2 linked regions of the Caenorhabditis elegans genome follow. The protein of the gene in region 1 interacts with the protein of each later gene in a pairwise test. Each region holds a gene or a part of one and is shown on either strand. Other genes may lie near its edges.

Region 1 (5,916 bases):
GTAGATCAGTTCGGCTCATCTGGACATTTTGATGCCGCTTTCCCAACTGATCCATTTGCTCAAGGAGGCTTCCCATCGGATTCTGGCTTCGCACAATCGGCTCCCGCAAAACCTGCTCCACCTCGCCCAGCTCCTCCAAAATCTGCTCGCGAAACACCTGTCAATGATCCTTTTGCGTAAGTCTTAGTGAGTATCAATTTATTTAAAGTCTAAATAATTTCAGCCCATCACAAGGACAATCAACTCAACCGGCTGGATTCGCTGATTTTGCGGACTTTGGATCGGCTTTCAATTGATTTTTAATAATTATACCTTACCCACTATAAGCCCCAACGCCAGTCAAATTGTTTTACTTTGCCCAAATGTTTACCTGTGCCAAGTCATCGACATAATTTATTGATGCACATTTTTAAGATTAGTTTTTTTGCACTTTCCCACTTGAATTGTCACTTTTCTAGGTTATGAAATCAGAGCAATAATGTTATATACTGTAGAATATGAATATGCATGATTATTATGTAAATTATGAGTTATAATATATAGTAAATGATTTGCAGATTAATTTTATGTTGCGTATTTGATATTTTCAGTCTCATGTGTAAAAACGGAGCACAAGTAAACGGGTTGAAGGGGGGGAAGTAAACCGTAAAAGAAATTGATAAGGAAAAAGGAGAATCACAGAAGTTTGAAAATAATAGTGAAAAAGTTGTGTGAAGAAGACATAATTATGCTAGAAATCGAAAGAAAATACAGATTAGATGTACAAGAATGTTCGTGTCGGATTTACATACAGTGGCCAGTATCCTGAAAATAATAATCGCTATATTAGAATTTATTTATATATTACTGTTTACCTTCAATTGTGTCAAATAGAGTTGTCGTTTAGTTTCTATAGTCTTCTGAGGGAACGGATTCAGTTCGTTGAATGCCACTTGAGCTAGCGACTTGAAGTCAATGATATGTTCTTGAGCTTTGCTGAGACATTGATGAACTGTGCCTGAAAATTCTTGTTAAAAAACTAATAAATTTAAAGTTGTAAGTCACAAACCAATAGTTTTACATTGAAGAACGTGAGGTTCGCATATTTTGAAAAGTGCCAGTGCGAATCGAAAAAGAACCTTATTTCCTTCATAGAGGAATGCATCGAATATAGTCAGATAAATAGAATGCGGGAGTACATCTACAAAACACGTCAGGAACCAACTGAGCGCGAAAAGTGAAAGATCAACTTCAAGAGCTCTCAAATGTGCAGCCAATTTTGGAAGCTTTTCTGCTACAAGATCGCGGAGAACTTTCTGATCGGCAACCGCTCCGATCAGTGAGCTAGTGTAATATCCTTCAGGTTGGAGATGTTCCACACATGCTACAAGGAACCAGAACGAATCCTGCTCATCCAGGTTTAACAGAGCAATTGCAGCAAGACGATTGAGTCCTTGGCAGTAGCCGACGTGAGAGTTATGGTATCGGAAGGCGTAGAGTACGTTTCGTAGTTTTTCTATGTTAGCAGAATCTGGCTCGTCGAAAAGTTTATTCGTGGGCAGAGTTCGAGCGAGGTCAAGATCAATCTGAAAAAATAATATGAGAAACTCGAATTTAGAATAATATAAATATACCTGTTTGATGGCTGCATCGTAACTTCCATCCTGCTTCTTTGTTCCAGCCTTTCTGAGCATACTTTGATAGTATCCATTACCCAATTCTGCTTGCTTATCCTTCACCCAATGTGTCACAATTATCTTCCATACACGACCTCTGTAGGCAGGTGGTACTCCAGTTCGAATAAGAGTTTTTAGATCAGGTGAAGACATGATTGCAGTCTGCCGGGATACTGTATTGTTGACAAGGAACGCATCCCACGATTGTAACCATTTCATGTATTCTTCAGATTGTTCCAATTTCGTTGCTTCCACTACGTCTCCCGCTTTTTTCATGTAAAACGTGGCAGTATCCAAAAGATCATCGCTTTCAGAAAAATCATCCTTTTTATAGAATCCCAACTGATCCGTGAGGTTTTGCTGAGATTCTCGAGGTGTTCTTGCCGACTCTTCGAGTAATTCTTTCAACACACCAGGTTCCATTACTGTAGAGCAAAAGTGATTATATTATAACAGAAAATTGTTTAAAAACTCACTTTTTCCTGGTTTTGTCGGAGACTTAAAATGGTTTAGAACCATCAAATAACGGCTTTTTAATTGGTAATAGCAGGCTTCGAGGTCGAAATTTTGACGAATCAGCTTCTTCTCTCGATCTTCCAGAGATTGAGTGATAGCATGCAATTGGACTATTTCCGCATTCAAAAACTGATTCTGGGTACGGTATCCTTCTACGAGATCTTGAAGTTCTCCAATATCACGAACATTTTCTTCGTCTAGAACCCTAAAATAAAATACTTTAAAATTTAAATTGTAAAAATAAATTCGTACTTCCTGGTAGCTTCTTCACAATCAACTGATGATACATCGACAAGAATGCCTTCAGGAACCTCAACATCCGATACAAGTCCATTTGCGTCTGCAGGAATATTCGAGCTTCTTTCAGATATCGATCCTAGTAAGTCTTCTCGATTTTCTTCTTCACACATTCGAAGAATAAGCTCTTCTTTTGTTCGTAATGATTCTCGGAAAGCTTCTACTGATTGTTGCAAATCATTGATCGTATCCTCAAGCCTTACATTTTGATCTTCAAGATCACGAACTCGTCGAGCATTCATGCTATTCGAAATATGTAATTCGGTGACTTGTCGCTCCTTTTCCAGTATATACTCTCGCATTTCCTCCTTATTATCTCCCATATCCTCGATTTTCTGACTAAAATTTCAACAATTTATTATGATTTTAATTAAATAATAAAACTCACAGTGCTTCATTATTTCTTTGAGCTAGTAGAAGAGCAGCTCTCAGCGAATCGACAACTTCCTCCAGACTTGAAACTTTATCAGACAATTCAATAACTTTCTCTTCAGGAGTTAGATCAACAGAAGATACTGTACCTTTCTGAAAATTTTACTCATAGTGAATGTTTGATCACTATTTGAACATACTCTACTTCCAACAACTGGTTCATCGGACGTATTTTGCCGACTTCTGCTCCAAGTCGAAAGATTTCTTCGAATAGCTCGAAAAGGAGCTTCTATACTTTGATCAGCTAGTCGCTTTAATACAGTTTCTGGGCTTTCGATTGTCTGAAAGTATAATTTGAAAGTTTTCAAGTTGTATGTTCACTTACCTTTGGCATCTGTAGAGATCGTTCATTCAGCTGTCCATTTGGATTCAAATACCATTCCGTTGCAGATCCTTCAGCTGGTATTTTCGTGTTGTCTGTGTCTTCAACCACTTCGGCAGTTTCCTCAGATGAGTGAGGAACATCAGAAGATGTTTCAGCGTCTGTTTCTTCTTCAGTTAGGAATTGTGTTCGTTTCTTTGGTTTTGGACTTCTTGGTGGTGGTACTGGAGAAGGAGACGAGCATTCTTCGAGGACCGAAGACGAATTTCTTCCCGTTAAAGACGAAATATCTAGACTTGAATCAGATTTTGATTTCGTTGCCTTCCAGCTTCTTTTCCGTGTACTTTGAAGAGCTTTCATCCATTCATTGCGTTGCTTGTCTGAACTACATTCCAGCGCAATTACTTCATTGTTAGAGCTGAAATAAGTCGATTTTTAACGAATTAATTATATTAAACTCACTGAATTTCAAAACGGCCTTTTTCTCTTGGATCATAAGTGAATGCTGCGCCACTCAATGAGACTCTTCCGATACATTTTATGTCATCTGAATCTTTATACCAGTAAAGATATGGAGTTGAGTCACAGAGTGCGAACCAATAGCGACGGCGTGTTATCAGACCGATCGAACGAACTTCGATCTGGAAACAGTGGATATCATTTTTGTTGATTCCTAAGATTGGCATTTAATGTTTTTAAAAGTTCTTCGGGATCAAATTTAAAATAGTAATGTCATTTTAAAATTTTCTGGACATTTTAAAATAAATCTTTAAATTTTCTGGAAATTTTTCCGAAAATAATATATTTAGGCCAAACTACCGTACCCGATGCAAGTATCCACAGATTGCCGAAGTTTTTAGTTCGCGAGCTGGTGGGCTGATTGTCCCCGGCGCCGCAGACATCCGCGTTATCTGAAGTTCTGAAAGTAGGAATAGATATGAGAGATTTAGAAAGAATAACAAAAGTAGTATTTGTATCGTATGTTCAACGACTCATCGCACTGGACAAACTGGTTTTTTATTCGACCACCAGGCGAGGGAAGGTGGCGAACGGAGAGGGAGAGAACGTATCGAATTTTTATGAAACAAAATGAGAAAAAAAGAAGTGAAATGCAGGAAGAGGTATTGAGAAGTGAAGTGAAAATGAAATAGAGTAAGAGATCAATATGAAATGATTAAGAGATGACTAAAATTAGTCATCAAATAATTTATTGTTGCTGTTTAATATTCGTCCAGTAATCGGGATAATCGGCGAGTTGGCCGATGTTGATAGTTTCAGAGCATCCTTGCATTGCACACTTGATAACTCGCTTTTTGCCAGCAAACTCATGAATTGAATCCCTATCGTAGACGTGTCCACAGTTCTGGAATATTGATTTATTGATATAAAATAAAACTTTTGTTGCAATTTGGTGGTGATGAAATGTTTCGAAAGATAAATAAACGAACAAGGATGGTCAATCAAAAAATAATGAGTCATAAATTGCAGATGATATATTTGCACAACCCGAATGACAAGACGGGGATGAAATGTTGAAAAATAGAGAAAAAATGTTAAAAACTTACCTTACTGATAACTGGATTGACAATATCTTTCTTCGAAATTGGATCCTTTCTACTATGTTGAACTTGCATCACTTCCATTTCATTTTCATCGTTTTTACTTTCATCCCTTATAGATTTGATAATGTCTTTGAAGTACTGTCGCTCGCCTTTCACATTTTTATGGGTTTTTTTCGCCTTCTCGTATAACTCCTCCAATGCTTTTTCCTGCAAAATTATTATTAATATAATTTGTTTAAATATCTGCAACGTACATTCGGAACCTCGTCTGAACCATCTTTCAGGTCATTATGCAACGCTTCAAAAATGTGTTGCATTTGAGCACCTTCAGTCTCCAATTCCATCAACTTCATTGCATCTTTCATCAATGTTTCTTTGAATTCTTCAGAATCTACTTCATTTGAAATAGCATTTTTTGAATTGATATGAAGAACATCCTCAGCAGCCTTTCTCAGACTTTTTCGAATAATTTCCATACTAGTGGCGAGCTGGGTAGACATCTGGAAGGGATTTCACAACTTATTGAACTTCTAAATAACAAAAAAAGATAATTCAAAAATCGTTATATACGAATAACATTAGCCTACAAATGAACATTTAAAATTTAAAATTTTTTATTGAATTAACCCATATTTTCAGAAAGTGATTATGCATGAAAATTTTGAACATAAGGCGATAAAAACCAGGCAGTGAATAAGAAGTGATTAGGTACCCATATTCAATTTTCCTATTCGGACAGAAAGATGGAAAAATATGGAATCTTTGTCGTTTCCCCAAGCTTCGTGTAGAGAAAGCAGCTTTTGTAAAGTAATTCGAACACTTGTTTCACATCGATCCAAATAGTCAAGATCCAACGTGTTGGAGACTGATCTGAAAATAGTAATTTTTCATTTTAAAAAGCTCAATCAAAAAAGCTGCAGTCATGGCTGTAAATGTTTTTTTTTTTGGAAAAAAATACGAAAAATTATGCTTCACAAAACAATTTTGAGTAGAAAAAAATTAAAGTCGAAATTTTAAAAGAAAGTACAATTTTGGTCAACTTGTTTTAGATTTTCAAAATGAAGTTTCAAACTTAATAATTCTTAGTTTTGGTTTTTTGTTGCTTTTTTTGTGTTTTCGGTGGAAAAACTTT
Region 2 (7,186 bases), on another chromosome or scaffold:
CAAAATAGTTTTTTTTTTTTTAAATGAAGAATTGATTTTTTTAAACCAATTTTTTGGGATATAATCAGAATAGCCTATTTTTAGCAAAAACTTTGAACATTTCCATGAAAATTTGGTGAAAAATGTCAAAAATAGCCAATTTTTATCCAGAAATCGAAAAAATTCAATTTTTGTTAGGTTTAGACCCGTTTTAATCGAAATAGTTTTTTCTTATTAAAATTCACGCTGAAAAATCCGGCAAATCGCCGGTTTGCCGAAAATGTGTTCGAAAAATAAATTAAAATATGTCAAAAAAATTTCAAAAATTTTTTTTTGAAAATTCTGAAATTTTTTTTAATGAAAAAAAGTCTCAAAAAAAGTAAAAATTTTTTCCAATTCCAGGGCCCGATTCCGACTTCAGAAATGATGGATCGCCAATCAAAAGGACTTCTTTCGGCAGAAGGTGTTGCCAGACGTTCTGGAACAAATGGACATTTTAATCCAGTTGCCAGAATTGATTTCGAGCTTTATTTGTAAAAACTCTCCTAAAAAACCTCTCCTCCTCCTCCCCTGAATTTTAGCAATTATATGATTCATATTTCATTTTTTTTTGTTTCATTTTCATTTTTTCCCCCATTTTTTTTTGTTTCTCTGAATCTCGTTTTCACTCTCTATCTCTCTCTCATCACTTAGAACACACATTCATTTCTCTCACTTTTTCCGCCTGAAAACAGCTGAAAAAAAGTCGGAAAAATGATTCGGTGCCGAAAACTTTTCAAATACCGAAAACTCGCTATTCAACATGATATTTATCACAGTTCCGATGACATTTCTCGAGGTTTTTTCAATTTTTTTTTGTAAATTAAATTTTTTTTTTCCCGTTTTTTTTTTGCCCTTTTTGGTCCTAAAATTGCATTTTTTTTCAAGTTTTTAACTTGAAAATTCATTTTTTTGGCCTATTTTCGCCCCTAAAACTGCACTGTATTATATAAAATCCCCAATTTTTTCCTTTTTTAAAAAAGCTTTTTTTTTTAAGATTTTACGGTTCCAAAAGCCGCTAAGTTTCTGCTGAATTTTCTGGGAAATTTCTAGATTTTACATTAAAAAACAAATTTTTTTTAAAATTCTAAATTTTAAACTTCGCTAAATTTCTAAATTTTGGTGTAAAAAATTAGAAGACAAATTTTTTTTTAACCGGTCATTTTCCGAAAATGAAACCTCTGGTAATTTGCCGGTTTGAATATTTCCGGCAAATCGATAAATTGCCGGATTTTAATATTTCCGGCAAATCGATAAATTGCCGGATTTTAGTATTTCCGGCAAATCTACAGTTTGCCGGTTTGAATATTTTCGGCAAATCTGCAACTTGCCGGATTTGAATATTTCCGGCAAATCGATAAATTGCCGGATTTTAATATTTCCGGCAAATCTGCAATTTGCCGGATTTGAATATTTCCGGCAAATCGGTAAATTGCCGGAAAATCCAGTTTTTTGCCGGAATTGAAAATATTTTTTAAAAAATTTTCAAGTGTAATTTTTATTTCATTTTAACTAGAAACTCTAGTTATAAACTAGAAAATGTAATTTTTGTCTAGAAAAAACCGGAAAATCCGAAAAATTCACGAATTTCCTAGAGAATTTTGAAAAAAAAAACCCCCAATTTCCAGGCTTCTGCAACCCAACATCAATGGCGGGAACTCGGGATTACGATCATTTGTTCAAATTGCTGATTATTGGAGATTCGGGTGTCGGAAAGAGCAGCTTGTTGCTCCGTTTTGCAGATAACACCTTCTCTGGTTAGGCATCAAATTTTCTAAGGGAGAAAAATTCAGATTTTCCATTAAAAAAATTTTATTTAAAGAAAACTCAGTTTTGACCCAAATTTCCCAAGAAAATCGGGAAATTGGACAGAAAAACGGCAAAAAACCAATTATTACAAATAATTTTTGTTTTAAAAATAAATTTTTTCTAAAACTTTTGGGTCAAAAATTTGTTTTGTCCGATTTTTATTTAAAAAAATGAATTTTTCCATCGAAATTCTGATTTATCCGATTTTTATATTTGAAAAAATAATATTTTTTGCTTAGAAAATCAGTTTTGAACTCAATTTTCCCATGAAAATCGCGAAATTAAACAGAAAACTTTGAAAAACGCAATTTTTTGCTGAAAGTAGTCAAAAACCTGTATTGCGCGGCTACAAAAATTCTGAGAATGCGTATTGTGCAACATATTTGACGCGCAAAATATAACTATATCTCGTAGCGAAAACTACAGTAATCCTTTAAATGACTACTGTACCGCTTGTGTCGATTTACGGGATCTCGATTTTTTGAAATGAAGTAAATTATTTATTTATCAAAATTAATAAGAAGCAAAAACGAAAATAAATCGAGCCCGTAAATCGACACAAGCGCTACAGTAGTCATTTAAAGGATTACTGTAGTTTTCGCTACGAGATATAGTTTTATTTTGCGCGTCAAATATGTTGTGCAATACCCATTCTCAGAATTTTGTGTTCCTATAATACTGAAAATAGCAATTTTACCAATAAAAAAAATTTTTTTTTGCAGAAAACTACATTACCACAATCGGCGTCGACTTTAAAATTCGTACAATGGATATTAATGGACAACGTGTCAAACTTCAGATTTGGGATACTGCCGGGCAAGAGAGATTCCGTACAATTACATCGACGTATGGCGGAAAACTTTTTTTTTTTTTTCAAAAAAAAAATTTGAAAAAATTGCAATATTTTATCACATTTTTGTTTGCAGAAAAAAGCCCAAAATTTGTGGTTTTTTTTTTTTTTTTTTTTGAAAATCAAAAAACTTTGTGGGAATTTTCAAAATTTAAAATTTCTATGAATTTCAGAGACAAATTTGGAGGAAAATTTCCGATTTTCCGGAAAATCGAAATATCTTCAACTTAAAATTCAATTTTTATCGAGTTTTGTATATATTTTAATGAATAAATTGGAAAATTATAAAAATCTCAAATTTTATCGAATTTTTGTTAAATTTCGTTGAAAAAGTAGAAAATTTACCAAAATTTTGAGATACTTTTAATGGAAAATCGAAAATTTTTTATTTTTTCGAAAAAACGAAAAACTTTTGTGGAAAATTGATACAATTTATTTAAAAATCGAAAATTTTTAGTTTTAGTTTTTTTCAATTTTAGTTAATATTAAAAAATTAACGATTTTTGCAGTTACTACCGCGGAACACACGGAGTCGTTGTCGTCTATGACGTCACAAATGGAGAATCTTTCGGAAATGTGAAACGGTGGTTGCAGGAGATTGAGAATAATTGTGATTCGGTTCAGAAGGTTCTTGGTAAGGAGCAGAAGCAGCTTTTCAGCTGAGCTAAAAAAAATTTTAAAATTACGATTTTCCTCCTTTTTTTTGAAAAGTTGAAAAAAAATGGAAATAAAAGGGTAATTTAACTCAATATCACTATAACTTTTTCCTCACGAGGGACGAGGAAAAGTGGTTTCTAGGCCATGGCCGAGGGGCCGACAAGTTTCAGCGGCCATTTATCTTGCTTTGTTTTCCGCCTGTTTTCTTTCGTTTTTCACAGCTTTTTCCCGTTTTTTCTTTTTCTTCTTTTTTTCTTCTTTTCGTTTTTTCTATCTGATGAATAAATACTTTTTGCAGATGCTAAAACAATTTCCAAGTAAAAAAATTATGTATTCAGTGGGCAAGCAGCGGTGAAAGTGGTCACTGCAATATGATGGATTACGGGAATACAAAACCTAAAATTTTTCTGAAACATGATAAATATGATGCTTAGATGCTGAAATTACCTGATTTTCATAACGAGACCGCTGAAAAAGTTTTGAGGTTTCCAAAATTCAACTTTTTTGGTGAAAAAGTAGAGATTTTCGTACAAAAAGTTGAATTTTGAAAACCTCAAAACTTTTTCAGCAGTCTCGTTATGAAAATCAGGTAGTTTCAGCATTTAAGCAGCATATGTATCATGTTTCAGAAAAAGTTTAGGTTTTGTATTCCCGTAATCCATCATATTACAATGCCCACTTTCACCGCTGCTTGCCCACTGAATACATAATTTTTTTACTTGGAAATTGTTTTAGCATCTGCAAAAAATATTTATTTATCAGTTTTAATAAGAAAAAACGGGAAAAAGCTGTGAAAAACAAAAGAAAACAGGCGGAAAACAAAGCAAGATAAATGGCCGCTGAAACTTGTCGGCCCCTCGGCCATGGCCTAGAAACCACTTTTCCTCGTCTCTCGTGAGGAAAAAGTTGCAGTGATCAATTTTCATAGTTTTTCGCGTTTTTTTTTTTGAGAAATTTGGAGAAATTTTGACAATTTTCCACATTTTTCAAGGTTTTTTTTTGAAGAAAATTACAAAAAATTAACACTAAAAAGTTCCGAAAATGATGATTTTTTTTAAATCTAATTTTTTTTTCAATTTTTTAATTAAAATTAACATTATTTAGAGATATTTTTCAAAAAAACCTTTAATTTTTTTCCGTATTGATTTTTTTTTTCAAAAATAAACAAATAATTCCGTTTTCAGTCGGCAATAAATGCGAAGAAAACGAGCGTCGAGTGGTTTTGGAGAGTGATGCACGTAATTATGCTCAATCGATGAATATCTCGTTTTTTGAGACTTCTGCCAAAGAGGACAAGAATGTCGAACCGGTAAGAACGAAGAAAATATTGAATTTGGGAATAAAAATACATTTATAGTTGAAAGTGGCAAATTACAAAAAAAATTAAATTTTAGAATTTTTCGGTTTAAAAAAATATAACAAAATATATTTTTCCGAAAAAATGTTTAAATATGATTTTTTTTTTAATTTTGGAAAAACCAATAAAAATGGCAGAATTTTTTTTTTGAATTCCCGCTGATAGTGAAACTTTATTCTTCAATTGTTCAGACATCATTCTGTAATGAAAACTTGGTAATAGGAAATAAGTTTGCTGAAGCTGCTCAACAATTAACTTAAAGGTGGGGTACCGAAATTTGAGACTTTACTTTTTCAGATCCAAAATGGCCCAAAACTACCGAATTTCGTAATGAGACGTTCTGAAAAGTTTTCAAAAAAAAGGTATGGCGGCTCAAAGTTTTGGAAAAAATGGCCTATTTTTAGCTAAAATCTTAAATTTTGGCAACTTATCGGTGTCGCATCGGTTGAGACGTAATTTTTATTTGATTACCATTTTTTAATGCATGTTTTGGCATTTTATTAGGTGTTGTTTCGTCGATTGAGATGTTTTTTTGGCCAAAAATATGATACAATTTTGAGTCCCCCTTGGCCAAAAAAACATCACAATCAACGAAACAACACCTAATAAAATGCCAAAACATGCATTAAAAAATGGTAATCAAATAAAAATTAAGTTCCAACCGATGCGACACCGAAAAGTTGCCAAAATTTGAGATTTAAGCTAAAAATAGGCCATTTTTTTCCAAAACTTTGAGCGGCCATAGCTGTTTTTTTGAAAAATTTTCAGAACGTCTCATTACAAAATTCGGTAGTTTTGGGCCATTTTGGGTCTTAAAAAGCAAAGTCTCAAATTTCGGTACCTCGCCTTTAAAGGTGGTGAAATTTTTTAAATTGTTTTAATAGACTCAAAATTGTCTGAAAACACCGAATTTCATAATGAAACTTCTTGAAAAATTCTCAAAAAAAAGTTATGACGACGGCTCAAAAAGTGGCCTAAATTTAGTTGAAATTTGAAATTTGACTTGTCAAGCGGCTGGAAACTAACTTTTTTGAAATTACCGTCAAATTGTGAGTATACAATGTAATTATCTTGCGTTTTCAACTTGATTTAGGTTTTTTAAAGTCGATGGACGGCGAGATTTGGTTAAAAAAATTAAAAATCTCGCCGTCCATCGACTTTAAAATACCTAAATCAAGTTTAAAACGCAAGATAATTACATTGTATACTCAAAATTTGACGGTGATTTCAAAAAAGTTAGTTTCCAGCCGCTTGACAAGTCAAATTTCAAATTTCAACTAAATTTAGGCCACTTTTTGAGCCGTCGTCATAACTTTTTTTTGAGAATTTTTCAAAAAGTTTCATTATGAAATTCGGTGTTTTCAGACAATTCCGAGTCTAATAAAGCAATAAAAAAAATTCGAAAAGCGTAAGGATTGGAATAATTCAAAAAATGTTTTTTTTTCATAGAGTTTCAGTAAAATTTTCAGAAAAATTAATTTTTTCCCCATTTTTTCAGATGTTCACATGCATCACGAGCCTCGTTCTGACCGCCAAACTCGCAAATCCCCAGTCGGCTTCAAAGGATCAGAGCCGCACGGGCGGTGTATCTCTCAAGGACAATTCAGGAAGCACCAATCAGAAAAAGAAGTGCAAATGTGGATAAATTTTTCGTTTTTTTTTTTAATTTCTCTCACCATCATTCTCTATATTGTTTCACTTTGTACTATCATCAAAAATCGCAAAATTCTCGAATTTCCCCTCCCCTCTCCCCTGCCTTCCCGCATGTGCATATACAACAGTTTTATTCCCAATTTCCAAATCGATCGACTGCTTTTTTTTTTGGCTTTCTATCTGTTTTCCCCTCCTTCCTAAATTACTAAAATATTTAACTTTTTGACGAATTCTTTTCAGGAAATTGTTTTAAAATCCAAAAAAAGAAAGCTAATTTTGTGATATTTAATTTAGAGAAAAATTTAGTTGAAAAAAAAAAATAAAACTAATTTTTTTTTAAATACTAATTTTTGTTGAAAATTCCCATAACTTCATAATTTTTCCTTTAAAAAAATTTGGAAGATTATATATTTTTTAAAGTTCTAAAAAAAACCTTAAATATTTTAAAATTCTAATTTTTCCTAAATATTTTTGTTTGAAAATTAATTTTTTTTCGTACAAAATTTGATAGAAATTCCGAAATTTTCACTTAAAAAAATTAAAATTTTCTCTCACTAATTTTGGCCAATTTCAGAATTTTTTCGAAAAATCACCACTTTTTGTTTAAAAAAAACTCAATTTTTTCCAATTTCTTTGCCTAAATTTTCTAGAAAAATTCCCATTTTACAAATTTATCCAGAGGAATGGATTTTCAATTAAAATCTTGAAAAAAACTAAAAAGTAGAGAAAATTGGAAACTTTGGTGGGTTTAAACGTTAAAAGAGATTAAATTTAAAAAAAAAGGGAGATCGAATCGAATAATTTGGGTGGATGGGATCATTGTACAATATAAATAGAAAAAA

The links.
Region 2: the proteins of tbc-2 (region 1) and rab-35 interact in a two-hybrid assay, tested with the Caenorhabditis elegans proteins (one study listed by BioGRID).

The regions. Positions count from the first base shown.
Region 1 is NC_003280.10:5,823,303-5,829,218, forward strand, and holds tbc-2 (PH domain-containing protein), read right to left. Parts: upstream 4,142-5,916; 5' UTR 4,125-4,141; coding exon 4,047-4,124; intron 3,864-4,046; coding exon 3,685-3,863; intron 3,641-3,684; coding exon 3,226-3,640; intron 3,182-3,225; coding exon 3,041-3,181; intron 2,994-3,040; coding exon 2,857-2,993; intron 2,808-2,856; coding exon 2,424-2,807; intron 2,377-2,423; coding exon 2,132-2,376; intron 2,081-2,131; coding exon 1,614-2,080; intron 1,566-1,613; coding exon 1,049-1,565; intron 998-1,048; coding exon 855-997; intron 805-854; coding exon 784-804; 3' UTR 554-783; downstream 1-553. Other genes in the region: ehs-1 (Eps15 (endocytosis protein) Homologous Sequence), read left to right, coding at 1-176, 224-296; ZK1248.11 (E3 SUMO-protein ligase NSE2), read right to left, coding at 4,430-4,585, 4,788-4,991, 5,039-5,284; gtap-1 (Dynein heavy chain 7, axonemal), read right to left, coding at 5,489-5,654.
Region 2 is NC_003281.10:11,306,027-11,313,212, reverse strand, and holds rab-35 (Ras-related protein Rab-35), read left to right. Parts: upstream 1-1,646; 5' UTR 1,647-1,666; coding exon 1,667-1,775; intron 1,776-2,549; coding exon 2,550-2,673; intron 2,674-3,186; coding exon 3,187-3,311; intron 3,312-4,518; coding exon 4,519-4,643; intron 4,644-6,189; coding exon 6,190-6,336; 3' UTR 6,337-6,566; downstream 6,567-7,186. Other genes in the region: teg-1 (GYF domain-containing protein), read left to right, coding at 382-516.